Struthio camelus: one gene and its partner. The main gene of each other region encodes a partner of the protein of the gene in region 2 in a complex. Links are inferred from orthologs where the notes say so. Each region holds a gene or a part of one and is shown on either strand. Other genes may lie near its edges.

Region 1 (16,171 bases), on a different chromosome or scaffold from region 2:
GGATTCTAAAAGTTGCTTTTTTCCTTATTCAAGGCAGAAAAATAAGATCATAATGTCCTGTTCTATACAGACTCGCCTCAAAAGGCAAATTTGTTTAATTAGTTAGCTGCTGTCAATCTGTTTTGGATGCTATCGCTTGGAAAATGTGTACTTTTAAAGTCACACCCAAACTGTCTTTTATTTGTGTATATGTATATATATACACACACACACACGTGTGTGTACACACACACACATATATAAAGGCTTCCGATCTGTTATCGGTAGTTAACAGTCTATAAAAACATTGCATCCCCAAGCCTTCTCTGGAGGCTCCATCATTAGATCAGCACCTCACTCCCACTTTATAGCTCTCACTCAAAATATTTCCAATTCTGAATTATGGCAGAGCTTTAAAGCTTCTGACGCCATATGATGAAGAACCTTTCACAGCTTCAAAAGCTATTGTCCTTTTTCCTTGAATGAGTTTGCGTCAGCACAGAAGTTGTGACTTCAACCACACAGATGACCCAGAAAAGCTTCAAGCTTATCAACACAGAATAACTTTTTAGGAGTCTACAGTATTTATCTTACTAGGGGGGAAAACACTCTCAAGTTTTGACACAAATAAAGATATTCAGTCAAGGCTGAAATTATACTTCACTGTCTTAAAAGATCCAGTCTAAATACATTTAAAAAAAGACAATGCAGTACAAGACCATAAAAGAGTATTTAACTCCTAGAGTAAAATTCCATTTAACATATCAAGTAAGATTTTTGAAGGCACATAAAATGTGATAATTATGTGAAACATACTTAAGTAACTGATCTAATTTTTAATATAGACTTTTGATAATTTCTGAGTTAGGTTTTAACAGCCATTCTACCCTCCCCCAACTTTATGCAAGTCCAGTTTCATATTTGCGCATTAACCCCACCACCACAAAAAAAACGCAAGTCACCACAATCTTTCTGAAATACAAATAAGAACAGCTCCTTTAAAAGTCTTACCAAATACACGAAGGCCATCCTCAAGCATCTAATGGACTGGACTAGTCCACTGCGTATAGAATCAGATTCTAAATCTGCACATCTAGTTTTTCGCTTCGAGACAGAAGCAGCGGCCTAATCACAAACGGGTTCCTGCCAACAACCGCTGAACAGCATTGACATGCTTACAAGGCTGAGGTGAACAGAAAAGGCTGAAAGCAGCTTCTACCATTACATTTGCCATTCAGAGCAGAAGTATTATAGTGATAAACACTTGGTCTTGGGGAAGAGCTCTAAGAACACATTAGAGATCACTTGGGAAAGCTAGATGCTGTCAAGTTGCTGGGTTTAATTAAAGTCATCCTACAGCACTTGTGGGTGAACAGAAAAGGGCAGAGACCACCTATGCTTAAAATGGAAAGACCGTGAAATCGTGGATCAGTCAATTCAATACCACTCTCTGGAAAGACAACAGAACGAGTCTACTCGTAAGCGCTCAAAAAAGCAGAAGGGTCGGGGGTGGAACCAGAGCTTTATTACCATGTCAGTGGTTTGCTACAGCTTGACCACGACAATCCAGTCTCCTGCTTAAAAAGCCAATCAAAAACAAAAACCACCAAGGTCACTCCAGAAAAGGAATAGATATATTTTTCCTAATTTTGGTAATGCTTTTAATATTGCCTCATACAAGAGTCTCACAACCAAAAATAAGACCTCTATCTCTTAAAACACACACACGGTACATGAAGCTACGTTATAACAAGCAAACAAGTAGATGAAAAACAGAGCAATAAGGCCAATGATGGGCTAGAAGCAAGCTGAAGTAGCGGTGGGTGCTCAAGAAAAGAGTAAGATTTTAGAACAATTTTGACAACTGGGAGAAAACATCAGAAGTAGATAAGATGCCTTTTTAATAAGAACATATAAGAACTACTTGGTTTAGGCAGCAATAGAACGTAAAGTAGCAGCTCTGCACAGTAAGATCTGACCACCATAAGGGATCCCACTGGACGCGAGTCAACAACGTTATATCGCACAAAAGCATTTGTATTATGATGCAAACAGGAACGCCATATGCAAGACACATTAAGTGATCCTTCCACTCTGCTGAACTTTGGTCTGGTCCCAACTGGAATTGTGTCCAGTTTTACATATCACACTCCAAGAAACGTGACTGGAGAAAATCCACAGAAAAGCAACAGGAATGGTCAGGAAGAACGACCATGATAAGTAACCTGGAGGAGCACTGAAAGTAGCTGCTGATGACAAGGAAATACACTGCTCCCCATAGCTGTGCAGCTTAGAATAAGGAATACAAAGCCTAAAACGATAGCAAAGCAGGTTTAGGTTAGATTTACAGAAGAACTTTCCAGCTAACAGATAAGCAGAAACAGATTAGCTAACTTTAATCTTAACAGATCTGTAAAGGGGAGCTGGAGCACCTCCAACACTAGAAGTTAAGAACAGTACACACACACAGTTGCTCTGGCTTTACAACAGAAGGACTCCTCACAGGCTAGCACTGCCCCTTACAATGCTGTGTTTTACAATTGCCTCCTCTAAAGTAGAACTTGCAGCGAGAGAAGCAGCTCACTGTGAGGGAGACAACGCTCCTTAATCCTGAACGTAACAGCAAGTAGTCTCCGTAAAGTATCATACTGTAAGGATGCGAAAAAGCTCTGAGCAAACGTCACCCTTTAAAACTAGTTTCATTGAGTTTGTGGGTTTGAATTGGTTTTTGCCAGAATTAAAAATATTGTTTGAGATATTAGTACTAGTGCTTATTCCTGCCTAACCTGACAGCAGAGATCTGTTAGAATTCAGTGCAATTTTCAAGTGTAGACACATTAGTCATGTTGCTTGTATTTAAGCTTCCTATGGGGGAGTTGGAGGAGGAAGAAGAAAAGAAACAGTGGGAAAGAGAAGAGAACTTTGAACATTTTCCTCCGTGCTCAGCCCACACTCAGTCTCCATAAATGCGGCATGAAACTGTTCCTAAGTTTTACCTAGGGACCATTAAAATCATTTGTCAGAGGATACAATCAGTGCAAAATGGATGAGAATCAGCAGTCAGAAGAAGCATTACAAGCATAAAAGGAAGGTTTTCTGCTTGCTTTTTTTAAAGGGAGACAACTACACCTCGATTTTATGGTCACGTCTGTACTGGTTTCTGCCATGAGAAAAGCCACATCATGTTTTTAGCCAGCTAGATCCCTTTCACTCACCCAACCAGAGGATGAGAAGAGCAGATGCAACACAAGTGCCAGCTAACTTCTTTATTTGTCCTTACGTCTAGCTTTGAATATCCTACGTAGCTTTACTAAATCAGCATTCACAACTTAAAAAAATATGATGTTGAAGAACTCACTCCTCCACACAAAACGTGATCGAGTTTGTTTTCAAATGCGCTTTGCCAGACCAGAGCTCTGAAAAGGGAAGCACTAACTTTAAAAATTAACAGTGAATCAGCTCACACGTCGGTGTACTGGAGAAGCACTGGGGATTTAACAGAGTCAGTCCAAGCATCTATTTTAGACCTGAGTAAAAATACAGCCATGCTCCTTTAAATCCAAACACTCTAAGGTGAAAGTATTAGTACACTGAAGTCTTTAGTTTTAAAGAAGCAGCTGGAGAGGCAAATATATTGCTATGGTTAAAAAACAGCAACCAAAGAAAGGCTTGTCATTTAACAACAAGTACCCAGGTCAAGCATCATTCCATCAGGAGGATACCATCTGGTCTGAAGTGCTAAAGTAATTTTCCAACAAAACACAGTTGGAAGCTACAGTTTTACACTGATCTTCTTGGCAGACTGACTTTTTCCAGCTGTTCCTCCTCATGCTTCCTCATCTTTCTTCTGTCCCTCCTTTCTGTCACCTCATCTAAGCTACGCTCTGCATACAAGTGACAAACTAGCACGCATCAGAAGTGCAGCCTTGCAGAACCTGACAAGTTTCTCAGAAGACTCCTTGGGAAAAGTTTTAATTTCTGACATGTAAATTTGTTCTGTGATCTTCAGGTGCTCATGTAGAAGCTCTAAAAAGAATCCATACAAACGTCAAAAAACCAACTTACAGTTTTAGTAGGCTTAAATCTGTAGGTCATTTTAATTACAAATATTCTTAACTACATTAATTAAAAAAATCACTAGCAATTCAACAGTTATCTCTTATCAGAAACAGAAAAGCCAGGATTCCACAGCACATAATTTTTGGTGAAGTGAGTGGTTTCCTCAAGCACTGTGACCTCTCCTGCAGTTTCAACAGGTACGTTACTGTTCATTTTTCATCCTAAGCTGGCATAGTGTTACTCTGCATTCCAAAAACACTTTGGAGTGTCACCTTTCACTACAGCGATGGCTACGTATCAATAACAGATTGTGCAACTCTTGGGTGTACGCTCTGGGATCCTTCGAAGAGCATACCCGTCAGTATTTATGCAGGGATTTTTAACCAAGGTGTCACTAACGTATTCAGACATACCTATTCAAAGAACACTATTTTTCAAATGACTCGCAAGAAGTATACACAGTTTACTAAATGGCTGTACACATCCTTTACACCAAAGCAAAAAGGAATTGTTTTGCCTTGGTAAGCGTCTCCTTGGCCACTGCTGGCCAAAAGAAAACAGCTCCTCTACGACTGGGCCTACAGTCTTTATATTTCTTTTCATATTCAAGCTGGAGCAGCGCTTCAACTAGCGGCAATAAACCCTCTTTCAGAAGGATTTCCCACCTTTCACTTTGCTTTACAAAAATTTAAGCGCTCTACACCTTTTCAAGAAGGCTTCCACACACCTATGCGCATTTCCTTCTAGCTCAGCACAGAAGCTCAGTCTCTGCTACCATTTAATCGCTAGGATGACCCTAGCTAACCAAATGAAAACGAACGAGCTTTCAGACTACATCTGGGGTCTCCAGTCTTACCTCATGCTAACAGTTGGTACTGCTTGGCTAGCTTCACATCAGCAATGGGAGTCATGATTAACGCACAGAAAGGCTAAAGACTTCCATCTACCCCCCAAAATTTATTCCATTTTTGACCTTCAGACCTGTAATTACTGTCAAACAACAAATGTTTGCACTGCCTATCAGCCGGCTACTTAGAATTTCTATACCAACTGCCAGCATTTGACACCCTGCTGTTCCTGGACACGCTGCTGTTCCTGCGTAGAGTTAGCAAGCTTCGGGCACACGACCCACTTAGCTCGTGTTTCCGAAGACTGCTCACCTCCCTTCACCCAAATGAAATTGGAAACATAACATCGGCAGATGAACTCTGCCAAGATGGTGCTCAGATAGCAGAACTATCACAGGAACCAGGCAGCATCTCTGCAACACAGAACCAGACTTCCTCCGCAGCACCATCCAACTAGCGCGTTCCTGGGAGCTCACAGGACTGACATGCCCAGTTCCCACTGAACGTCCCCGGAATTTGCCCAGACTCCTTTAGGCTCCTCAGAAAGTCCCTGGTCTTGCAGGAAGCCGACAGTTTTCATTCATGTAGCGTGAATGAACCTACTCAAGCTGCTTCTATTTGGTTAACATAAAGCTCAGTTCTGGTTCGCACTGCACATCCCAAGGCAATAATTCATATTTTGGATCTTCAGGCCATTATTACTCTAACCTATGTCTGCATTACAATCGTCAAACACACCGAAAGCCTCCTGGTTATTCTAGAGCATGCAGTCCATGGAGCTGCAATGCAAAATTCTCACCTCAAGAGAAGGTAACTGCTAGGTCTATATAGCACCTCCAGAGCAGAAAGGAAGGAGGGAGAAAGGAGCAACGATGAAAACTTGTGTTCCACCGTTATAGTAAGGAGGTATTGTTCCCACCTAGACAGGTTTTCCCAGGGCACGTAAATCGGTCTCTTGTGAGGTCAGTATCCCTGACCTTTATAGCCGTTACGTGCCGAAGGGCTCCCTTTGGCGCTTCTACCGTGATGCTGCACAAGAAAGCACCCGTCAGAAAGACTGCGCTTCCGCGCTTCTGGAGCGCCCAGGACTGACTTTACAATGCACTCTGGCCTCAGGATCACATGCTAAGACACGCATTTTTATAAGCTCCGCAGGATCTTCCTTGCGAGTGCTAGGATCGCACTCATTTAGGCCAGCCTCTTGGCCCCGCTTCATTCTGCCACTAATTGTCATGCACTTGGCTGCAAACTCATCAGGGAGGAGGTCTGCTGGGCTAGATTTAGCCCATGCTGTCCTATAAGGAACAGAGCAGGGTGGGTTTCCTCCTTCTGCGGTCCTATCAGAGGATCTCCTTAGTTGCTAAGGAACTACAATTTTATTGCATTATAAATCATTTAAAGCCGCTCAGCAGATGCAGATTTAGTAGGCGGGAAGAGATGTTCCATCTTATGCGAGGCCCCGGGCAGGCCGCCGCTCGGAGCGCCGGGCGCCTCCCCGGCCCCCGAGGAGGGACGAGCCCCGCCGCCCCCTCTCCCCGCAGCCGCCCCTTCCCCGAGGGCCCCGCTCCCCCCCCCCCCAAACAACGCGGGAGCCTCCTGAACGGCCGGCTCCGAGCGGGGGGGACCGGCGCGCCGCACCGGCCGGGCCCGCCGAGGTGGGCGGGGGGGGAGGCGGCCCGAGCACCACCGCCCCCGGGCCCGCCGGCCCCTCCGCCCGGGCCACCGCCGCGCCCAGCGCGCCGCCCTGCCGCCGCCGCTTGACCCTCCGCCCCCGCCGTAGCCGCCCCCCCTTAGCAACCAGCCGCCCCCCTAGCAACGTGTCCCCCCCACCCCAGCGCGGCCCGCTCGCCCGCCCCCCGCCGCCGCCGCCCGCCCTCACCGCTCTGCGCCGCGGCGGGTCCCGGGAGGAGGCTGGCCGTGACCAGCAGCAGCGAGAGCGCCACGGGGAGCGGCCCGGAGCCCGGCATCCTCCTGTGTTGGGCGGCAGGCAGGCAGGCAGGCCGGCCGGCGCCGCGGGGGCGAGGCGGGCGGGCGGGGGAGGCACCGGGGAGCGAGGCGGCTCCGGCTCCGTCCTTCTGCCTCCGACCTCCTACCGCAGCGCCAGCTCTCGCGACGCGGCCGCCGGCTCTCGCGAGACTTGGCGGGCGGGGGCGGGGCGGCGGCGGCACGTGACGGGGCGGGGCGGGGCCGGGCGGGCGCCGCCGCGGGGCTCTGAGGGGCGGTGAGGGGCGGTGAGGGGCGGTGAGGGGTCGGGCGGTGAGGGGTCGGGCGGTGAGGGGTCGGGCGGGCCCCGCTGCGCTGCGCTGCCCGCCGCGGGGAGCCCGTTTGTGGCCGGGCCCCGTGGGCGGCCGTCGCAGCAGCACGGCAGACCGCTCTCTCCGCAGAAATACCCAGCGGCTGGGTGTTTTGCCAGGGCAGGGCGCTGAGGCCCAGGCCGCGGAGGAGCTTGCCCCGGGCGGGCAGTAGAGTCGGGCGCAGGCCAAGCGGGAACCGGCCGCCCGTTGGCTGCGCCCACCTCTAGGCTCGCCCGATTTGGGCAGGTCCCCTAAGTCCCCTCTTCGTTCCCCTGGCTGCAAAAGGCAGACAGGCCTGCGCTCTGGTTGCCTCTGTACCGCTCCGGCGAGCCCAGGCGGTTGTAAACCCGGTTTAGCTGGCCGTTTAGGCCGGATTGCTGACAGCTCTGAGTCACAGGACGGCGCAAACGGTTGGAGCGCGCTGCCGAACGCCAACCCGTCGCTCTAGCAAGCGTCCGAGGCGGGGAGAGACGAGATTCGCAGAAGACTGTGGGAGGCACCAGCACAGAAGTGGAAAATCCCTCGAGAACGCGTTTTCTGCTTTCTGCTGGGAACACCGCTCCCATCTAGAAATCCCTACAGGATCAGACTCCTGCGGTAGTTGTCCAAGGAGCGTCTAATATTCCTTATCCTCTCCTCTAACCGGAGAAGCGGCTCTGGGAGCGTGCTAGCACCGCTAGAAGCTGTATTGCCCTTTGCAGGGAAACCTTCCCTGCCATTAAATCCCGTTAAAATAATGTCTTAATTCTCTGCTGCTCTCTACCTTGTCTGCAGACATCCCTGCCCTGAAGGCCGCGTCAGTGAACCCGCAACGCGGTGGACTGGGGAAGAGCATGCAGCACCTGCTCACCTCCGTGGTAGTAGCCTCCAGAAGGGTAACAGCTTCTCACCCTGTTTGACCAGGGCGCAGCCTGCACCGGCTGCACAAATTGTGCCTTCCCCTCCCTCTTCCCTAGCAGGCTCCTGGTGGCTGCTTGGCTTTACCTCCCTGATCGTTCTCCCAGGCCTGGCCTGGTTATTCTCTGCGGATCCTTAGCGAGCAGAATCCGTGTCCTTTTAGTGTCCGTGTGTCTCAGAAACCAGACTGAAAAGGAGAAGCTGACACACCTTTTCCATGAAAACCCCGCTACTCAGTTGAGGCCGATGAAATTGCTGCTTGAGTGCTTCAGGACTTTGGCGATGGCCATGGGCTTACCGCTGCAGCTTCGAGTGGCTGAGGTCACACAGGAGACGTGGCTAGGCATGCGTTTAGTGCTTTATGTAGTCAGGGTTGTCCCTAGCTCTCCAAGGATGCCTCGGTACTAAATTTGATCCGCGTCAGATATTCCACTGTGCCATGTATCCTGCGCTTGGGAAGTGCCATGGTGTGCTTCCATGACTCAGTGCTCTTGCCAGCTGAATCATCTGTGACACTACTATTTGTTTTCTTGCCATGGTGCAGAAACATCCTCTTTTTCGCCTCATTTATGATGCTGTGGAACATTTCTGACAGTAGCACTTGAAAACCAGAAGGAATAGGCAAGAAGAACCAGAAAGCAAGGCTTCACGTGATGGTGTCCTTCCTTCTGCTTTTGGCCTGCTATTTTGCTTGCCAAACGTTAGCACCAGTGGATTTTGCTGTAACTCTCATTTTTGCAAACACCCACTCAGTATTAGGCCTTACCTACACGCGAATGTTTTCCAAGTTTGGAACTAGTTAGTGATGCACTTGCCTCTGAGCATGGTTTGGATCTGCACAGTAATACTTGTTTCGTAACCATGGTAGCTCGCAATGAGTCATCCTGCCAGAGTCTTGGGCCGAAGTTAGCAGGCTTTTTTTTTCCCGTTACCGGTTCAGCACACTGCAGTTTTGCTAGATCTTCTCTGCGCAATTGCATAACCCATCTGCCAGGTTTCTCTGGCTCTGCCCTGGGGGCAATCCCCAGATGCACTGCCCCGCTTTCTGCTGGTTTCGCCCCGGTGCACGTGCCTGCCAGGCGCTGTGACCAGCTGGAGCGCTGATCCCTGGCGCCGGGGCTTCCCTCGAAGGCTCTGCTAGGAGATGGTTACCCAGAGCCGTTAATGAAGAAGTGCAGACTCAGCTCGCCTGCGGGCTATGGTTGATACAGAGCTCCTGCCAATGCACGTGAGGAACCGAAGCGGAGGATTACCCTGGCCTGCCACAGAGGAGGGCCAGCGACGGACCCAATCTGAAGCCTGCTGTTGTCTTCAAGAGTTTTTTGAGGGATTTCAATGGGGTTAATACCAGGCCTGTAGTGTGCACGGGCTATATATAGATAGTAAGATGTGTTCTGCCATACGCTGCTGCCGTGGCTGGTAAGGAATAAAAACCTGCTCTTTTCATCTGCAAAAGCCTTTCCTCTTACAACAGATCGTACTTATAGTGAAGTTGCTGGGTAGAAAAACAGGATTTGCCAATCCTGGACCCACTGTAATATTTACTGAGCATAATGGCTTGATAGTGAGGAAAGAACAGTTTTTATTACAAATTCCACCAGACTGAATCTTTGAAGTGTGGGCCTTATGGGCGACGATTTTGCTGGTGTGGGTTCAGATCCCAGCGCTGGTGATTCCTGGCCTTGTGAGTGGGTGGGGAAGTTGGACATGTCAAAACTTCCAAATACTGTAACTCAAAATCCCTTTATTTCCTCCCCCTCAGTCAAAGCCCATCTTTTCACCACCTGGGATGCCTTCATTTGATTATTCTCAGGTCTTCAGCAAAAGTGGCGTAGAATATTTCACACTTAAAAACAAGCAAAGAAGAAGAAAATTCAGGAAACAGTTTCAGTTATTTCTGCATTGTAGAGCAGCAGAGGCATCGCCCCTATGTGTGCATCGTCTTTGAGCCCGTCTTCTTGCAACTCTATCTGGTTAACAGACACCTGTGTATTTATTTCTGTGTATTTATTGATATAGTTTGGCACCTGAAGAAAGCTTTGCCGCTAGAGATCTCACTTGCAGTCACCTTCTTTTGAATCTGTTACTGAAAAGTTGAAAACGTAGGGTAGAGTGTGAAACGTTGCGTGACATCTAGCAGGGAACTTAGCTATTGCAGGGGTCTTACAGGGCTGAGAAATGCTGAATAACATTGGTTAATACTTTGATGGTGCCAAGCTAGTGAAAACACAGATCTGTACTCAAATCAGCTTGTAGCCAGACACACATACGGTGTACTTGCAAGCCAAAATGCCTCTGCACGCTAAGACTGCATTGCTAAATGCGTGATCGAGATATATGTTGTGTTTGTTTTGCATGTGCGGGGGAGAGAGACAGATGAGTTAACAAACACGTAATGCAACACACACACATTACGTGAGGCTAGCCAGACTCCGATTCGAGCTGCTGGGCTCCTCGGCCTCAGCGGCCGTTGCTTGCCTTGCAGAGTGCTGGAGGGGTGCCGCTCTGCAGCTCGCCGTCCCGCTCATCTCCTGGTGGGTCAACAGAGGTGGCTCTCCCACTCGCCTTACAGCCACAGGGGAACGACTCCTGACGGGACGCGGGGGAAGAACAGCTCGGGGTTGTGCAAAACTTGTAACGGGATGCTTAGGAGAAGGACCCAGGGCAGGGAAAGGCAGGCACCAAGGTGGTTTGGGGAGGAAAAAGCATGAGAAAGTAAAAGGGAAAAGGGGATAAAAAGGGCCAGTCGTGTGTAAACGGGGCTGCCAGTACGCTTGTCTGGCCTGCAGCTGATCACCACAGTCTTACTACATTTTTTGTTAAACTCCATTTATAACTATTTTTCTGAGTGAGGGGCTCGCTCTTCCTCGTGTGTGTGTCTGTTTGGAGGTCTAAGCACCAGCCCTGGGAGTCAGACCACAAGTCCCAGAACCCGCGTGTCTGGGGTGCCAGCAACTGGATCGAGTGTCTAAAACCAATCGCTAGAGGAATCCGCGTTGTATAGATTTTCCACCAACAGGATTTCGTCCTGATCAGCCAGAGAGAAGATGAGGAGGCTGTTGGTGCTGCTTCTGTTTGCATGAGTGCTGTGTTTTCTGTCTGTGTACGTATGTGCAGTACGCACGCGTGCCTGTTGGGACATCGCTGCTGGCTGGACCTGGGCACGCAGAGCTGCAGCAGCCTCCCCTGTGTCCGGCTACCAGCATTCAGCATCTCCTAACGCTGCCACGCCAAAAATCACAGCTAGGAAGTCAACGGGTGCTGGCTGATGGAAGTATTGGAGCTTGGAGGAAAAGCCAACAGGAAAAAAATAGGTGAGGGGGACAGGTTTTTGCAAAATTCATGGGGAAAGACAGAGGAGGAAGAGAAAATCCCAAAGGAAAGAAATTAAAAGGAGGAAAAAAGATTGAACTGGAAAAAGAAATGTTCTAAGGAATGAGGAGAATAAAAAAACTTGTAAAGGCAGAGAAATGGTGTTTCTGAAAGAGAGGAAAGACCCCAGGAAAGTAATTAGAGAAGATGGGTGTAGATGTGCTTTCCTCTTTTGGAGACAGTTAGCTTTACACGCGTCAACTCCACTCGGTGATGGCAGTTCGGTTATTTCGAGCAGCCCCCCTGTTCTCCTACATGTTCAAATGTTCCTGTCAGAACTGGTCAAAATGTTTTAACTTATTTTTTTTCCCGAGGAGAAATGTCTTTTCAAGCAAAACAAACATTGTGACAGAAAGTGTAGTTTTGGTCAAAATGATGTGCAATATAAACACAAAACTGCTCAAACAGGAAGCGTTGGCATGTTTGGATTGCCTTTGTTATACCAGAAAAACCCTGAACTGTCTCTTACCTCGACTTATTTTTCTGCAGGAAAGGGGGAAGAACAAGAAAAAAATAAAGTGCTTTTTTGCCTTCTCTCTGAACCAACCAAAAAAATTGTTTTTCTTAATTGCAAATTCTTCATCTGGTTCCTTCACACGGTAATGTTTTTCTTCCCCCGCCCAACTTTTGGTTAAACTGAGTCCAACAGCTTCATTTCCAGGAGCAAACGCACGCGAGCTGCCCCGGCCCTGCCATCCCGGCGAAGGCAGACTGCGCCCGGCCTCGCTCTCTCCCACCCCGGGTCACGGCGAGGGGCCGGGTGACGGGCAAGCAGGGGGGAAAACCCCAAACATCTGGAGCAATTTGCCTGAAGGTGAATTTGTGGATGATGCCGGCAAAACCAGACGGCAGGTGGCACCCATGGATTAGCGCAGGGCCGGCTGTGCGGCGGTGCGAGCCGGGCTGGGGCAGCTCCTGCAGCGAGGGCGGCCCGTTGCCCTCCGCATTGCCCAGACGTGCCGAGTGCCGCGGCATCTCCCTGGGAGGTAAAAAGCACGGGGGTGCCGGGGAGCTGCTCTCCATTGCAGCTCTCTGTCCTGCACGCGGTGACCTGGGGCACCTCATCCCTCAGGCTCTTCCCCAGAGCCATCTGTGATGTTTTTAAGCTGGAGATCAGGCTTGCCTGAGGTCCTTGCAATGAGCAAAGGGCACCAACCACTGATGGTGGAGGTCTCTCTACAAAGCAGGGGTGCTGTGTCAGGCAGCAGCGAGAGCTAGCTGCTCCCTGAGGGATGGGGAGCCAAGGGGGGACAACATGGGCAGCAGGGCAGGGGTCTTGCTGGCCACAGTCCAGCCCCACAGTACCTGAGCAAAGCAAACCAGGGGAGGCAGCCAGGGTCAGCCAAGAGTCCGCATCATCAGCCAGGTCCATAGCGATGAAACAGGTCCAAGGTCAAGCTGGGAAGCCAGCCTAGGAGTTGGGAGCCTGCAGCAGTAGGACCCACAGCAAAGCTGGAGACCAGCACTCTTACAGCAAAACTCAAGAAGAGACTAGAGGACCAGGCTGAGCTTAAATGGGCTCCTGAGCCATGGGCAGGGGGTGGGTGGGGGTCCCAGGGGAGGCAGCTCAGGGCTATTAATGCCCGTTAGCGCCCTCCGGGCGCTGGTGTTGCCGCAGAGGTGCTGAGCCCGCAGGCAGAGGCTGCCCAGGAGGCGAAGGGAGCCGCGCGGTCCCTCACCTCCTCGCCAGGGCTGGGTTTGGCCCTGCTCGCCGTCGGGCATCCCCTGGGCCTGCTGAGAAGGAGAGGACGGGCCAACCCTTGACTTGCGTCGCCCGCCGGGTGCCCTGCGCCGCGCAGCGCTTTGGGAAGCGTCGCCCGCGCGAGCGCAGCTCCGCGGGGCTGCGGCCGGGCTGCCGGCGAGGGCGGCGCTCCCGCTGCCCGCCGGCAGCCGCCTGCGCGGAGCCAGCCGGGCAGAAACGCCAATACGTTCGACTAAACGCCTGTAATTGCAGTGAAATGAAGCCAATAAGGCCTGGATCATGCGGAGGCCGACGGAGGGGACAGGCCGGGCAGGAGATCAGCCCAGAGCTCGCAAGCAGCCCGGCCCACGGCGGCCCAGCTCTCCTGCAGCGATGGGCGGCGGGCGACTGTACGTATCCCGCGTGCAAAGATACTGATTTTCAGCGTCCCCTGCAGGTCAGCCTTTACCAGCCAAATCAAGATTAAAGGTGTCAGCCTGCCTGTGCAGTGCGGTAAGCGATACACTTAGCTAAGCCTGCCCTCAGCTCAACCTCCAGCGTGCTGCAGGAGGTCAGATTAGATGTGTGGTTTTTCTAGCCTTAATATCCCCGGCTCCCGTTGCTTCCTCGGGCCGGGATCAGGCTTTCTGAGCTGGGGCTGCCTGCGCTGGCTTGGGGACGGAGGACGTCCCTCCCAGTCGCAGGTGCAAACTGGGTAAGAAACCTTTTTAAGAGCAATTCAGCGGGAACCAGCACCCTTCAGGGTGCAACAAGGCAGCAGCTCATAGAAAACGCGGAGTCAAAGGAGAGGGGGGAAGGACAGAGCCCGAGCCAGAGGATCTCCAGAGGAGAGGCCACGTTTACTTTAACTAGGGATGCAGCAGCTTAACAAAAGCAATTTGATGCAACCTGAGGCTCCCTTCTCCCTTGGGAACGTGATGCCAAAAATAAATAGTGACCATGAGGAAGGAGGGATTGTGGGTCCAGCCCCAAACTTTTCTAAGTGTCAGGGCCCTTAATGGCCTGAGCAGCCTCACCTGGGACCCCCCCCCACACCCTCTGCCCATTGCTCCAGGGCTCCATTTAAGCTCAGGCCTGGGGCCCTGGTCTGGGCTGTGCAGGTGAGCCTATGCCTGGTCCTGCCCTGCTGCTGGACTGGGCTTTGGCCCAGGAGCTGGATTGAGGGCTAGGACCATGCTGGGCTGTACTGTGACCTGCTGAGGCCTGGTGCTGGGCTAAATGGGGAGAAGAAGGCAGACTGGATGTCTCCCATGGGAGAGTTTTGGGATGTGGTGTATCGTAGGGGGAAAAGTCTGAGCTTCAGAGCTTTTCGCTCCTTAGACAAAAGCGAGCGAGGAAGCTGCTGCGGAGCGAGCTGGGAAAAGCTTCTGGATGCAAGTACCGAAAAGCAATTTCTGCAGAAGAGTTTTTTCAATAGGAGAAAACAAACAATAGGGGACAGCGGGGAGTGCCCATGGGCTCAGCTGAATATCTCTAGTATCTCACCTACAAAAGCTCTGCACAGTGTCAATAGGGGAGACTTAATTGCTGGCAAACATTACGGCTGGTACAGAATTAGAGGAGCCTCAGACGGAGCAGGGGCGACTCTTACAGCAGCCAACAGATGAGCCTTGTGAAAGGCGACTCTGATTCTTTGGGCATTTCTGGGTTAGGGTGCAGAAAAATTGCAACAAAAAGCAATTTTGCTTTAGTCAACCATACAACAAAGGCCTAACGTAGTGATGAGCAGAAGGTGTCAGAAGATAGGAAATTGTCAGCGTTGCTGGAGCTGAAAGATAAGATTGTACTCCTCAGAGCTATGCTGAAAGAGGATAAAGTATCCAGAGGGGCAATTCAGAAAGAAAATAATGTACAATTACAGTTGTTTGAATTACCCTTTTAGGGAAGTGTGGTGGGGAGGGGGGGAGCCAGTTCCAGTGGAAAGTCTGAAACCTCCTTCCCATGCGCTCTTAGAGAGCAGAACTAGTTTTTTTGGGGGGGTGGGAGAAGATGATAAACTGGCCAGGGCAGCCCCTAAGGAAGAGGAAAGGTGGTGTTGTTAAGAGGGACCCCACTGAAGTGGGAGGTGGCGGCTGCGCTCTGCTCAACGCCGATGGGCCCTCAGCTGAGATCTTGTGCCTGGTCTTGGATGTTGGACGTGACACGGTCAAACTGGAGAAAATCCAGAAGGAAACAGGAGAGAGCAGAGATTTTAAAAAAGCACAGCCTCCAGGGAAGGGTGAAGGGACTGCGGTGGTCTAGTCTAGAAAAGAGATGCCCGAAGAGGGATGGACACCTTCCAGCACGTGAAAGGGAACTTGGGTTTTTTGCAAAGCAGGAATGGGACAAGAAAGAGCTTAATTTGTAAAAAAGCAAACTTAGGCTTAGCACTGAGGGGAAACCTGTCTGTGAGTGTGACGAACCAGCTGGCAGGGGTCTACCTGGGCCAGGCTGGGGCCTCCTGGGCCAAGCGGTCAGTCGGTGACGTCTCCTCTTCCAGGTCTACAGTTCACGGACAAAAAACACTTGAGCAATTTGGTTCTCCCAGCAAAACCTGCGATGCGAGTGGGTTACGCTGTGGTGGGGGTCGGGGCTGCTGAGCCTGGAGAGCAAATGCGTCGGGGAGGAAACCCGCCCTGAGCTTGCCGGCAGCAAAAGGCACGTCTGTTTTTTGGGAAAGGCTGAAGTGGGTCGCTCCAAGGAGTGGGAGGAAGGCTGGAAATCTCACGCCTGGAGGTCCTTGCCAGAACTTGTGGCTGCTGGGGCTGGGTGCTGGGGCAATGTGCTGCTCCAGCAAGCCCGGGGTGCTAGGAGCAGCGGGGTTGGTGGGTGCTCTGGGGGGACTGTGCAGCTGCGAGCAGCAGCCCCTCTACGGGGAGCATCGTGTCACCCTTCGGCTGGACCCCTCCGCGGGAACGGGGCTGCAGCGCTTGGGGGAAGCGGCGGTTTGGAAACGATGCAGCCCCCAGGACTCCTACCTGCGGTCTCCAGAGAAAGCTGAGAGAGACGGGGACGGCGCGGAGGGAAGCGGGTGCTGCAGT
Region 2 (15,160 bases):
AGATCAGACACTGTATACCAAGTGGTCAGAACCTAATAGTGTTGTATTCCCTACTGCCACCTTATCTTTCAGTGAATATAAGGGCACAAGTAAGGGTAGATTACAAGTGATAGGCTCTACAGAAGTGTGTTTTAAGAACGTTTCCTGCGTGCAACGAGAATTAAGGCCGCATCCCACTTGTAGGCCACATTAAAAAATTAAGACATGTAGACCACTGAAGGGAGATCCTCTTGTTCCTACTTCATAGTTACGCATACATGGAAGGCCATGAAGAAACTCACCTAGACCTCTCCTTCTCCGAAGCAGTACATCAGAGAGTAGCCAGCAATATGCCAACACTAGCACTGTGAGACACCAGTTACTTTCAGCAGCAAAATGAATCACACTTAGTGGCCAGCACCAAATCCTGTCAGAAATATCCTTTCATCTTCAAAATTTATGTATGTACTCCCTAACTGCATGGTACAGTTGCCACCAGCATGAGGGTAAACCTTCTTGTACCCTCCATATCCCCCAAAGAGAGGGCGTGAGATTTGTCTTGTAACATATCATTATATCTCATTCACTTTATTGGACCAAAAGAATTTGGATTTACTTTCAGAGTTATTTCCAGCCTTTCTTAAAAAGAAACAAAAAACAAAGAAGACCCACACACTCTCCTACATTTTCTTAACATTTCCTCTCCCACTAGACCTTTCAAATACCGACAGGGAAAGCCTCATGCCTACTTTGCAGTTCACCAAAATTAAGCGAATAACACCTCCTGCTGGCATCTGTCATTTAAAATAAGATTTATAAGTGGCAGCAGAAATCACTTTCATAATGTTTACTAGAATATGAACAGCTTGAGCAGGCAGATCCCCCAAATTTACTGTTCATATTAAGTGAGAGCTGTCATGAAAGCTAGAAACTCATTTTTATAAGCTGTATTTGAAAGCCTGATAACATAGGAATAAAATACAAACTGGACCATTCCATATACTTGTGTTGAGACTATATTCAGGTGTGAAAAGGTACAACTGCTCCAAGATGGGTTATTACAGTTCTTTTTGTCTCGTAATTTAATTGTACAAAGTACCTCTCAGAAATTCCTCCAATACATCTTCCATCCATAGTGCTTATTAATATTGCTTCCATCTTCTGTAGGTACCTGCCCTGCCCCAGATGTACTAAACCCATTTTTGCTCTTTACACATTTGAATGCAAATACTTGGGTTTGTTTCCATAAACTCAGCTCCTTCCTTATTATTTATCATTTCACTGTGTATTTAGTGAACATGATCTTTTCCAATATTTGAAGCCAAAGTTAGGGGAAAATCAACAGTAGTGACAACCATTTAAAAGTGAAGATGACCAAACGTAAAAACAAGCCATTTTCAGTTATATGAATAACTAGCTATTAACACTTCTGGCTAATATCCATCCTTTACCTAAGTCATAATATGGGTTCCCTTCCAGAAGGAAAAAGCAAACCACCACATACGTCACATCTACTCCTCTCCTTGCTTTTCAATCAGTTAACTTTGTAAGGAGAAATAAGTGATGCCTTCAGGAGCAAATTCAACATGTTTGAGTACAGAAAAATGAAACTACTGAGATTGTTGCACCCACTACAGAAGCTAGTAGGAACAGCTAATCTTAACTTTTTAGACACAGTACTGCAACTCCAAGATCTTATCTATTTTTTAATTAAAATACTCTACAAAGATCAGTATCTCCTGAACAGCAGCTTTAATGAGTTTTTTTTTATTATTATTGAAATAGTTGAAAAATATGATTAAATTTTTATTGATCTTTTTGGAAAGAGGTAAGTGTGCATTTCTATAACAAAAATCTACAATAGATTCAAGTACTCTCCCTTATTTGTCAAAAGACGTTTGCATTTATATACCCTGGGCTAATCAAGGTTGTCCATTACTCTGCATTAGGTTAATCTTTGCTAACTGAAAGCTGATTTCAACTCTGAGTAAAACATGCATCCTTGTTGCACTTATGTTATTTTTCCCGTTAAACAGGGAAGAGACGTTTTATATTAAAATAGTTCAAACACTTAAAGACATCACTGAGGTCATGTTTCAGTGGTAAAGAATGCTCAAGTGCCATTAATATTTAGTCTACCTTAATGGAAGAAATTTGAGTTAGAAGATACTTCAGGTTATCTTGTCCACCCCCATGTCAAGGGAGACTTGCTTGCTACGGCATGTTACTGACTGCTTTGCCGAATCCATTTTGAATTGGTTAGTTAATACAGGTCCCAGCTCTTCCTAAAATCTTAAATGCTGGCAAATTTAAGTCTTTTGCGGTGGCTTCAATAGATCCAATCTACATTTATTCTTTCTTAATACCTCCATCTTATAAAAAAACCTGCAAGCTGTTATGTTTCTCTTATTTCCTGAATAATCTTGAACAGATAAAAAAAAGGCTAATTGCTAGATTTTCCTAACTGTGAGCTACAACACATTTACAAGCTTCTCAGTTGCCTGTTAAGCTTCCACAACATGACTTAGAGGTTCTCAGTTGTAATAGCTGACAGAAGTTCTCTACACTGTGGTCCAGTGAAAGAATCACTTCCTAAATGAGATTTTAACATTAAATAAGAGTATTTGAATTACTAGAATCACTAACAATTATTAGCTGATTGGATATTATAAGAATAGGGATCCTTTGCTTATATCGTTAGCTCTAGGTAAAATAACTTTATAAGAAACCAAAATGTATCATCCAATGCTAAACACACAACAGCAGCTACTTAATATGCAATAGTGAGTCACTGTATTTGTGCATACACACAGTACAGCCACGATCCACTTTAAAATTAGCTTTGACTTATATCATTTGAATTACTGACATCATAAGCAGTTATTTTTTTTCTAAATGAGGTAATGTTGCAGTTCAGCACTGAACTAGCAACATTGATTGGGAAAGCCTTCAAGTGTTTGTAAATAACACAGGAACCCTATTTCTTGAGCCCAAATAACCCCTGTCTAGGTGAAAGCTTTCAATGACTAATGAATAAAAAGAGCAGCAATACCCTAAACAACTCAACAACACTGTTCCAGACCAGCAATTTCACCTTTTTTTAAAGTGTACGAGTATTTTTCAGATTGAATTCAGTGACCACTTTTTCCACTGACACTAAAAGAGTTTCCATTCATTATGCCATAAGTATTAAAGTTTAGTACATTGGAAGCTATTCCTGCCAAAAGAGTCAATGGTTCAAAGATACACAAGTTTACTCCTGTCGGAATTTGCTATTGTGATGTTTGGAACAAACCCTTGAAAAGCTCCAACAGTCAAACAAGAAGTCACACGGGCTATAGCTACAGCCATATATTAAGACACTAAGAGGAACCAAGGAGTTGGCAAGCTATCTAATCAAAATCTTTATCATCTAAAAATGCAATTTCGACTCAAATTCAGTAGGACTGACAAGCATTTTAAAGATGCAGCACCTTTTGGACAGGATGCGGTTTTCCAGAGATACACTATACTCCTCCTGCCAACAAGTAAGCCAAGGCTGTAAATTGCTAATGATGCAAGACACATTTCACAGGTACACTTGGCTTGGGACTTCATTTCCAAGAAGGGACATGTTCCAGGACATGACTTGAATATTCACTCAGCTAGCTACCCCTTAACTCACTGTTAAGCCAGATATCACTTTAAATACATTGTTAGAATGACAGTTTAAAACAAGGCATTAGGTATTAACAGTTACTTTTAACCAGTATGCGAGAAAAAAGCCCCACAAAATTAAGTTAAGAATTTAAGAATGCTGCATGTAATAGCTATTTAAGACTTTTTGATTTCGGTGATGGGGAGTTTATAACGACAAGAAAAAAGCCCCTGAAATTTTGTTACTGTGTACCTTTCTTCCCCCCCCCCCCCCCTTCTCATGCAAGGAGGAAAAAATGAAGTGAAACAAAAAAGAAACATTTAAATATTAGCAACAATTTTTGTTGCACGTGGAACACAAATAGCACTATTTAGACTCCTATCGCAGCTGTGCAAATTAATCACTCATCAGGCTGAAAAATCTGGGACAGACTCACCCTTAACTCCCGATTTTCAAGAGCTTTTATGAATTCAGGCTTACATCGCTAGCCACTCCAAGAATCGTCACTTACATTGCTAGAAGTTACATAAAACGAAATGCCTCCACAGATCAGCGAGACCAGCTTTATCGGTTAGGTGTCCGCGAGACCTCCTTTCCCGAAATCCTAAATTCTTCCTTCCGAACCGCTTCTACCCACAGCCAAGGAGAAGGAGCCGCGCTGCAGCCAGCCGGGGCAGCCTTCAGTGCAGCCTCCGCGCTCGCCTCTTCCGCACGCCCCCCCCCCACCCCTCCCGCGCCCGCCCCGTCGGGAAACACACTCCAGCGTGAATAACGAGCGCTCTCTTCTGCAACTGGCAGAAACCATCCCCCGGTGCCCGGGCCCGCTCACGTGGTGCGGCATCCAAAGGTTATATACACCATTTGGCGGCGAGTGACACCGCCAGCGCCGCGGCCGGCCAGGCGCTGCCCTGAGCGCCGGCGGCAGCCCCGCGCCCGCCCCAGGCTCCCTCCTCCCCGGGAGCCGCAGCATCCCTCCACCGCGCTAGCGAGCCGACCGGCAGCCCCCAGTCAGCCCCGCTCAGCCTGCTCCGACGGGCAGCAGCGCACGCCTCGGCCGCCGCCAAAATCAACCGCCCCAGGGAGGCGGCGGCAGCGGTGATGATGATGCCGGGCTGCCGGCGCCGCGCGGCAGCGGCTGCCTCAGCCGGCGGCGAGCGGGGGCTCAGCACCACCTTCATCCGCGGTGTGTGCGCGCCGGGCCGGGGCTCCGCGGGGCCGCGGCGTGCCAGCTCGCCCCGCCGCCGCCGGGGGGGGGGGGGGGGCAGCGCTCGGCGGGAGGCAGAGCCGCGCATCGGCTGCCCTCAAGGTCACGCCGCGCCCGGCTACGCGGCGGCCAGGTGCGCGCTCCGGTTACCTCCGCGGGGAGGACAAAAAGCGGAGAGCCGCCCGCCCGCCCGCCCGCTCGGCGCGGTACAGCGAGCCCCGCCGCAGGGGCGCCCCCCATGCGCCAACCGCGCCGCCGGTGCTGTGCGGCGCAGCGCCGCCCCCCCCCCCCCTCCGGGGGCGCGCCGGCAGCGGCCATGGCCGGCAGCCCCCCGGCGGGCAGCGGCCCCACCGCCGCCTGCACCTGCCGGCGCGCCGCTGCCCGGCCGGCGGCGAAGCGGCGCCCCGAGCCCCGCCGCCGCCGCCGCGCTGCTTACCTCGACGCCGCCGCTTGCAGCCGCCAGCCCGGGGGGGGGCCGCGATGAGGCGCCCGGGAACCTGCCGCCGCCGCCCGCTCGCTCGCTCGCATAAGGTCCCCGCGCTGCCCGCCCTGCCCACGGCCGGCCCCGCCGCGCCGCCCCCGCCCTGCGGCCGGGGAGGAGGGAGGGAGGGAGGGAGGGACGAGGGGGTGGGGGAGCGGCGACCGAATTGGGGAGGGGAGCGGCGGGGAAGGGGCCGCGGGTGAAGGAGGAGGCGGAAGGAGCGGGGGGGGGGGTCACGAACCGCCCGCCCCGCCCCCGCCGCCTCAGCGGGCAGGAACGGCGACTCGCCCTCCCGCCTCACGGGCGCTCCCGCCGCGCCTCAGCGCCCGCCGCTCCCGCCGCACGCACCGGGCAGCGCCGAGCAGCCCCAGCCCCACCGAGTAACCGCTACAGGAGCCGGGCGCCGCAGGGCGGAGCGAGCCGCCGCCGCCACCGCCGCGATCACTCACTTGTTCGCTCCCCGCCGCGCAGCCCCCTCCTCTCCTCTGCCCGCAACCGCCGGTGCCCGCCGCCCCCTCACCGCCTGCCTGCCGTGCCCCGGCCACGTGACAGGGCCCCCCGCCCGGCGGAGGAAAGGGGGGTCCCGACGTGCGGCGTCTTCAATGGGGGAGGGGGAGGGGCCTGCGAGAGGCACGGCGCCGCGGGGGGCGGGGCCCGCGCCGCCCGCCCGCCCCCCGCCGCCGCCGCCGCCACTGGCGGGCGGGCGGCTGACGCGCTTGTTTCCATGACGTCGGTGGGCAGGGCCGCGGCGTTTGATGGAGCCCGGCGGGCTTCGGGGGTCGGTGACTTTGCCACGAGCGGCTCCCGCGGGGGCGGCGGCCGGGGCCGGGGCGGGTGGGCTGCGCCCCTCCCCGCCCGCCAATTCCCGGGGCTCCGCGGCGGGGCCGGCGGCTGCCCTTGCGCCGGGGGCGGTGGCGGCGGCGGCGGCGGGAGGGGCCGGAGTCCCGCGGGGGGAGGGGGCGGGCCGCCGGCGGTACGCGGCGAGCCCCGGGGGGGCGGGGCGCCGCCGGGGGCGGGGGCCGCGGCCATCCCGAGGGCGGCGGGTGGGGGGCGGGGCCGCGCGCGGCCGCCCTAACGGTCCGCCGGGCCCGCCCGCGCGCGGTCCTCCCCCGCCCCGGGGGGGCGCGCGCGCCGCCGGCGGCCGTTGAGGCGTCGTTGCCGGCGGCCGTTGGGGCGCTGCCGCGGAGCGGAGCGGCAGCGCCGTGGCGGAGGGGAGTGCCGGCGGCCCCGCGGCGGGGTAGGTGTGGGTCGGCACCGCGGCCTCCCCCTCTCGCCCCCGGCGGGTGTGCGGTGCTGTCTTCAGAGGGGGGCTGAGGGACGGCGTTAAGCCCCAGATTGGTGACTGTGGAGACAGCGTTTCCTGGGGCGGGGTGGGGGTGGGGAGGAACCAAGACCTTCCTCCCTACCGGTTTATTCATCGTTTATTAAGAGTGAAAATGAGAACCACAGCGTTTTCTAGGTGAAGATCTCAGTACAATTGCGAAAATGAAGCAGTCATCAGCGAGGCTTGCCTCAGTGAGATAGATGTTATGTTCCTTGTTAAATGGGGCCAGCTGAGGTTCAGAGAAGGTAAAGGTTAAACGACAGAAGTGAGTGTGTTGCTCTGAGTGCTGTGGGGTGTGGGATCATCAGGTTTAGCCTCTTCAGGCTTACCTCTCTCTGGGATCACTAGCAGCTTTTGCAGAGGAAATGGAAGCGTACAGAAGCTGCACGTGTTCAGCACCTTTCTGTCCCAAGCCCGAGGACTCTTAGGTTGGACAAAGAAAAATTAACGAGGGTGTCAACATCTGGGCTCAAGTGAGTTGTCAGGATACACTGGAAGTTAATAACAGGTCCGGGAATGGAATTGAGAAAAAAAAAAAAAACCCTTCAAGTCTTTTTTTTCAATGCGGTAAATCAGTCTCTTCAATGAAAAATCCTTGTACACAAAACATACATAATTCTATAATCTTTTTGTTTTAGAGTTTTATTTTGACATACTGTCAACCTCTCTGTTGACCATTTCACTAGAATGCATGGACCAGCTGTGCTATAGGCTGTCAAATTCTTTTAGCCTACCATAAATGCTATTTCTCCATTGTTAGTGTTCAAACCCCACTGCTTTTAGAGTCAATGCTGTGTAAAAGGAACGAAGCTCATGTATCATTATTGTTATAGATCTGAGATGTTACAGAGAATAGGGAGTTAAAGCAACAGATTGAAGTCAGTACGAAACAGCCCACAAGGACTGGCAAATAAATAAATTATCCTAACTACATTATTATCACGGCTTGCTTGAGCTTCATAGTCTCTTTCTTACCTGTATCCCTGTTACATTTTTCTCTTTGTTCAAGTGAGGCAATCAAAAGAGGCTGTGAGCAGTAATTGGCTCCTGCCCGTTTTGGAAGTTGCTAAAAATACTACCTTACCTTTGCATATCTGAAGGTCAAATGAAAAATCAAAATACCGAGGTAGACAAATCCTGCAGACGAATCTATTGAGGTTCTTTCTTGCATTTCTTCCCAGAAGGGGACTATAAAACTATCTGAACACATATCAAACAAATTCTCCTACATTCTACCTGCAATTTAGCACTCGTATCTGCACTGATCACTGTAAGCTTCCCTAGGCACTTGAAAATTACATTTCCAGCTTTATTAGACTGGCAGATGTGTTCTGCACAGTTCTGTCATATCTCCTAGCTCTCAGGCAGACAAAATTAGCTTTGGTTAAGCTAAGAAGAAGATGATATGTTTAAGGCATTGCAATCTGAGTACATGCCTGTACCTGCTTCATTTTGTCTTTGGGGAAGGTAGTCAGTTTGTGCTTCAGTCTTTCATTTATCAAATGTGAATAATTTGTTTCTATTTCCTTTGTGAGAAGGAAGCAGGGATAGAAGTGATAGGTACCAAAATAATTTTGTGAGATACTGTTGTAGCAGTTCATTAAGTGGATATGTTTTTCATAGGAAGGCACAAAATAGTTACTATTTAATGTTCCTCTTACACGAATATACCAGGACAACATAAAAACATGCAGCACAAATTGAGTGAAAGTAAGAAGGAAAAACTCCTTGTAGCTCTAGAGAGTATCCTATGTATTCAAAAAGTTTTTCAGATTAATCCTCCAGCTACAATATTCTTTATGATTTTCGTGAGAAAATAGGCACTCCTCCTATTTCTAAAGGTTAGGCACATCTGATCGAGTAACAAAACCTTCCATGTAATTTAGGTCACCAATCATACAAATCAAGCAAAAATAAAATGCACAAAGGAATATTTCTGGAAATATTTCATTTCATTTTTGAGGAAACATTACCATTTCAGGAAAATTCAGTGTGGTGTGCAGACAGTTTGGAAAGGCCAGATTTGACAAATAATGACAATAGCTCTAACTCATTTTGTGACCAACACTGTAGTGACGGAAGTACCATAGATTTTTACAGAAGCAGAAAATGTGTCACAGAGAATTTAAGTGGGTTGCCTGCATCTGATCCATTTACTATGAGGCTTTTAGCATAAAGAGCATGAATTTGAGTGTTTGGATCATTACAATATTTGGTCAAAAGGGAGTAAGGTGATCAAGGCCTGAGTGACCACCTTCACCATTCTGTATGAACTAGGGGCCTTTCAGCAAACCTGCGTAATGGGCTTGACCCAAGAAGAGAAAATAGCACAGTCTTTTCCTAGTTTGTGCATGGATCAAAACCTCACTAGATTTTGAAACTGGTTTCCTGACTGTGCTGCGAGTGCTAATCCTGTTCAAACTGAGCCAATATAGGAGTAAGTGGAATCAAGGCTTTTTTAAAGTTGATGAAACTGCAGAGCGTGCAGCAAGTGTGAAAAGTTAGGAGAATTTTTGCATGCAAACATGAAGAAACGAATGGCCAAAGATTCCACCAGTTTTGCATGAGAAACTTTTACCAGACTAGCTACATATCTTTCAGTCGACTTTCTCAGTGCAGTACTACTCTGTTCACACGCACTCTACACAGACCATTCTAGGCAAGAGTCCTTTTCCTCCTGTGCTCCTGGCTGGAGCTCTACAGCAACTTTCTGCAATGTCGTTAAGGTGGTGTCTTATGTGACAATATCCTGTATCATAACAGGTTGATCAGTATGTTGACTAAAAGACTGAACAATCTGACTTTGCAGACAATTGACCTCTCTTTTTGTCTTGTAGATGTCATCGTAGCCAGATTGCACTGTCATCCACCCATTCAGTTTAACCAAGGCCCTTGTGAAACAAAGCGAGCTCACCTAATTTATCTTGAAATCAAATTTACCTTTCCCTTAGGAAATAAACTTATCCATAAACATCCACAGATTTATCAGCTCAAAATTCTTTTCTTGACTGTTCAGGAACTCAGGATTTATGCATAGTATGTTTCCATCTGTGAATACATATGATAATCTAAGATATTTGAAATTTCGTTCTCACTTTCATTTCTGTCACAAAACTTTTTTTTAACTATTTTTCTGTTATATTCTTTCACTGTGATAATGCACAGTCAGGAGGGTGAGAAATAAAAAAGAAGTAAGATAAAGAAAGGAACAAGAGAAAGGAATGATTGTTACAAATCACCTTTTTTTCATTTATGTCATACTTGAAATCCACCGAAAATACATACTGGACTTCATATGCTCACTAACTGTTTGTTCTTTTCATGTTCTTTTCAGGCGCTGCCACGGCACACTGTTATTACAGCCCCAGACCAGATAAAAGAGTGCAAAGATACTTCGTGAACAATGGCACAAAGTCTACATTCAAAGAAAAAAATAGCAAAGTATAAAATCCTGGAACTGACAGAATCTGACTCTGTAAGGACTTGGATCAGGCATGAGAGAAACAAGAAAAAGAGAGCAGGGTAGGATAACTATACTTTACACTGCTATAAAGAGCAGAAAATAGCATGTTTGGGAGGCTTCTCAGGAGAAATAGATGAAATAAAAGTAAGTACCACTGCAATGAGGCAGCACTACGATGGCTGCCTCTTAAAAAGTGAGAAATATCTGGTGAATAATATTTGCTATTACTCTGCAAATAGTGGGCTAGTACAGCCCAAAGTGACATACCATGAGCACCCAACTACTCCTACTCCAATGTCTTCCAATGTGACACTTCCCTATTTTTGGAGTGTTCCTCTTTTACTTTCTTCCCCTATAGCTGTTTAGCCTTTTTACTTAATACTTGAATTCCAAAAGGATGGCTAAAAGTCCCAAGCAAGGCTATTTTGGAGGCAATCAGGTCCAGTTCACTAGAAGAGTTTGTTAAAAATAGCACTGCTGTTGCCCATCTCCAAAGAACTGCTGTTAGCCGTCATCCATCTCTGTGCCTCTCTCTGGTATGGATATGTATTTGTCAGGCAGCACAGCTATCACCCCAAGATTCATAATGTGGGAATATCCAGTATACTTACTAAGGTACAAAAGTACTTTTCGGGGGGTTGTGGTATGTAGAATTGGGCAATAAAATACAAAAGGCCAGTTTGTTTGGATTATATTACTGTGGATGACTTCAGATATGTTGCTTTTTGAGACTTCTTAATGCTACACTTCTGTGGAGAAGTTTGTGATCTTACCTTTAAGAGCATATAGTCAGCTAATGTTAATTTGTGAAGCTGCATTGATTTCACTGATTTTGTGGGCCTGTGCCAATTCATGCTGACTGAAAATGTGGTTCATAAAATTTTACGTTGTGATACATTGCTCTGTGATCAAATTATAAGTATTTTGTTTATTTTTTCCTTCCTCCCCTCCCTCTCTAAAAGATAAAAAACATCAAGGACAACCAAGCTTTCTTTCGCTGAGGCTATCAACATCACTGACCAGCCTAAATCACACTACTGACTCACAGAAATTAGTGTTAGCAAGAGTAAATATAGCCCCCTCCCCTCTCTCTTCAGTGCTAACTAATTGTCTTGAGTGGGACAGTAAATTGTCCGTTACTGATGCTACTTCAAAGTCCTTTGGATAAGAAAATAGATAATTCAGTTAAGCCTTAGGTTCCTTAAGCAAACATTAACATTTCTGCCCCTTGGCGATTGTTCAAGATGGTTTTGAAACATTTAAGAGTCATTAGAGCTAATAGCTCCCATTCTGAATTTCCTTCAAGGAAGAATATCAGAAAAAAATGCACTACCTTATTCCCACTCCCTTAGTCAAGAATTAATCATTCAAGTGATAAACAATGATGGTAACATACTTGAATAAATTATTGGTCGTCTTTGTTGATCAGATGCAGATCTAAATCATCTTGGCTGTTTTTAAGATACTAAAGATATAACAAGAAAAAAATCCCAGCTACCTAAAGTAGCATTTTTAAATATTAATAATGACCTATTTTACATGCACAGAGTTTAAAACTCTGGGCTCAGTTGTGCAAGCTTTATTCAGGAATAATTATTTCTTGATTAGGAATTGACGATCTGAAGATTATCTATATAAAGATCTAAATTTGTGTAGCTGTGGAAATGTGTGGATATGCAATCTATAGTATTAAAACATTAATGTAAATCATTATATATAGTAGTATAGAGTATAGAAAAGGTATTACATAAAATGCTTATACCTGTACGTATATAAAATCAAGTATACTTAGAGTGCTTAAGCTTGGATTATGGTCAGCGAAAAGAAGAAAATGTCAACTGGAGAATTGTCTCTATTATCACGTAATACTACAACTATAAATATTCAGGTTAGTAGGAACAATCTTTTTAATATAATTTAGAATGTTCCTGTAAGGTTATTAGCTAGTAAAAATGAAAAAAATTAAAATACTTCTTGTGACATTGACTGTATTCCTATTATGTATTAGCAGAAGAGATCAATAGGATTTTCCTCTGCCTAAGTTTCCTCTTGTCAGTTACATAACATGGCAGCCATGTATTGAACCAGCAGAGTTTGAATATATCATGTTGTGGACATATCTAGTAATAGGACTGCTGCAGGTTGTTTTGAGGCTATATCCTGTTATGCGGCAGTAAAGACAGTTTGGTTTAGGACAGAACTGGATTAAAAGATATAAAAAAACCCTTGTACATAACAGCAGGGCAAACACTGACAACTTTATTATCTTTGTTTCTGAGTGACTTCAGAGAGAGTTGTGCATACTTAGTAATTGCTAAAACTAACACCTCTGTTTCTAAAAATACCTTGGATTAATTAAAGGAGTTTAAAAATTAGTCTTTATAAGGGACTTTTAGATCTACTCAGCTCTAGATATAGATGTAAATCTTAAGTATCTTCATATTTTGAGTTTTTCTCAGCTTGGTGATAAAAATGCCAAGTCTGTTCCGCTGTTATAATCAGTTTCTAGAGTCTTTCAATTTCAAGCCCTCTACCCCTAGCAATGGCTTTCAAACTGGAGGCGGTTATGATAGGTTTCAAATAGCCTACCAAGGTAACATGAAGGGCCCAAAGCTGATCTGTGGGACTGTATTTAGTAGTATGTTCTGCTAAACTCCTAATGTATGAATTTTCCTTGACAGCATATGTAATGATTTGTAAAAATCTCAAGGGCTGGTGATGATCCACTGATCTGAACCATCTGAGAACCACTGCCCTAGCATATTTGTGCCATTGTGTGTGGGTGACTTGAATGAAGCTCAGCTAGAATCATCTCTCTCGGTCCTCTACTCTGGACTAAGAATAATGCAGGAGAGGCTTTTGTTTTATAAGGGGGATGGTACTAGGATCCTAGTGTTCGTAGTTCTCTGCTGTGTGTAGGGAAAAGTGCAGAGGGGACCCAGTCAAGGATTCAGTCAGATACTGTAGTTTCAGGTACGCTCAGATCAGATGTTTGGGATCCTCTAGAGATCTTCTTTTAGGATTTTCCTAGCCTTATCGTGAAGGCTGAACCACACGCATTCTTCCACCCGTCTTTGTTCCTTTGCAAAACTCCCTTTGTCTCTTCTTCTTTTATGTACTCTGTCCTTCACTTTTCTTTCAGTTTAGCTTATTTTTTTCCTCAATAACACCTTTCCCACAATCCCTGCCAAGCAAAACAAAACCCAAGAACATCTTGTGGAACTAATGCATCAGATGATTAACTTGCACAGTTTGTGCTGTTGGTGTGTGATATTCCTCCTCTGCTCTCTGATGGTCTTGTCAGTAGGGTGGGATTGATTTGCCCTAATATAAGGCATCTAAAATGAGCACATCTAAATCTATGCTAGTAATCCTAGGCTCCTTTTATAGTCAACAGTGAGAAACTGGCACCTCCAGTAAGGCAAAATATCATCCTAAGATTAATGTCTAGGGTGATTCTGCAGTTGTCTGTTTTTCTCCATCAATTGCGAAGGGAAACGAGGGTGAGTAGTAGGGATTTAAATGTCTAACTCTTAGAAGGTTAAAAATGGGTGACTGAGGCAAACAGCTCTTTCAGACTACATGTTTTTCTGGACTCTCTTCATCTGTGTGCCCTTGCTTTAAGTGGCCACTGAACTGGACAGTAGATACCAAGAAGCCAAAAATAGGAAAACACTACCTTAAGAGGACCGGCTTTTAAGGCAATCCACTGCTAGTGATTTTTAATTAGTGCATGTGTTTCTCTAATTCACACCGTAATTTCTACTAACAACTTCCGGTAATTAAAGCACTGAAACTTGAACTGAGGTGAATAGTCCTTTTGAAATGTATCACGTGAACTTAAGTCGCCACATGAATGAAGTACCTGAGGTTCCAGTGGAACGATCTGTAAGGAAAGGGATATTCACATTTGGAAGGCATGTGGGTTCTGATTCTTGGCTTGAATTCCACTGAGTTGGTAGTTAGTGGTCCTGGTTGACTCAATTTAGACTAATCTTTTATGAGATTGTGTACTTTTTTGCTAGATCAGCCAGACATGGAGAATAAAATGAGTGTGGATCCCATACAGACTGTAATGCATGGAGTTACTTAAGATTTGAGGTGCAGTGTGGAATTGCCAAGCACTACCGTACCCTATTTTATTGATAGTGAAAAGACTTTTGTACTTCTAAAATTGAAGAAAATAAGAATCAGTGATACAGAGACTTATGCTCTGACCCTTCTAATCCCTATATATTTGTCTGCCTCTAGCCTTATGTGGTTTAATTTAACTCTGTGATGCTCTGCCTAAGTGCAGTGAAATATTAGTGCCCAGAGAAGTGTCCTGAGAATCTTCTTCAAAAATGCAATGTATATATGTGTAAATAAATACATAAGTGTACATACATATAAAGAAAACTTGCTTTAAAAGGAAACTGTAATAAAAAATATGTCCAGCTAAAACTCCAAACTAGTATTGCACAAAATAATAAAACCTTAAAAATAAAAATAACAGTGAAATTTCTATACATTCTGTTGGCATTAGAAAATCCAGCCTATTCCTTAACGTAAAATGATCCTTTCCTTATTACTGTTTATTTCCTTATGCATACCCCATCAATTTTCATTTTGCTAAGAAGACTAGCAAAAGTATCCATTAAAAAAAAAAAAAAACGTTAGCAGTACGCTATCCAATAGTTTTATGTGAGAACCATGGAAAACTTTGTTCTTTTTTTTAAAAGCAAACAGAACTCAAATGGAAAGCAATGAATGTAAAACTGTAAAAAATGAAACCAGTAAGAGTTAATTAAACCCTCTGAAACCAGAAAACAGACAGGGTTGTAAAGAGAAGTTTTTTTCTGGTCTTTTCCTTTTTTCTAAATTAGACCGAAAACTACATTAAATATTTAATTTACAGACAACTAAAACTAAGATAAAGTTCCTGCCTTAAATATAGAATGCCAGGAAACAGAGCTACAACATTGCTCTATCCCATTCTGCAGCACTTTTGGCATGTGGGGTTGTTCATTGGTGAAAGACTATGGTAATATTGAGACAGGTAAGAACAAAGATAAGTTTTAGCCTTCCCTCAA

The links.
Region 1: the proteins of ATP2B1 (region 2) and NPTN are in contact, whole or in part, in a cryo-EM structure (PDB 6A69), measured with the Homo sapiens proteins. The link is inferred for Struthio camelus from reciprocal best matches to the Homo sapiens genes ATP2B1 and NPTN. Residues at the interface, in NP_001353449.1 of Homo sapiens: Phe954, Asp955, Ile956, Asp957, Glu996, Arg997, Asn998, Val999, Glu1039, Gln1040, Leu1042, Trp1043, Ile1045, Phe1046, Met1049, Gly1050, Leu1052, Leu1053, Gln1056; in NP_036560.1 of Homo sapiens: Arg245, Ser246, Asn248, Arg332, Arg334, Pro339, Pro342, Phe343, Gly345, Ile346, Glu349, Ile350, Ile352, Leu353, Ile356, Ile357, Tyr360.

What each region holds. Positions count from the first base shown.
Region 1 is NC_090953.1:24,104,955-24,121,125, reverse strand, and holds the start of NPTN (neuroplastin), read right to left. Parts: upstream 7,064-16,171; 5' UTR 6,854-7,063; coding exon 6,766-6,853; intron 1-6,765. UniProt on the Homo sapiens protein: Probable homophilic and heterophilic cell adhesion molecule involved in long term potentiation at hippocampal excitatory synapses through activation of p38MAPK. May also regulate neurite outgrowth by activating the FGFR1 signaling pathway.
Region 2 is NC_090942.1:49,804,707-49,819,866, forward strand, and holds the start of ATP2B1 (plasma membrane calcium-transporting ATPase 1), read right to left. Parts: upstream 5,925-15,160; 5' UTR 5,751-5,924; exon of another isoform or gene 5,257-5,750; intron 4,418-5,256; exon of another isoform or gene 4,053-4,417; intron 1-4,052. UniProt on the Homo sapiens protein: Catalyzes the hydrolysis of ATP coupled with the transport of calcium from the cytoplasm to the extracellular space thereby maintaining intracellular calcium homeostasis.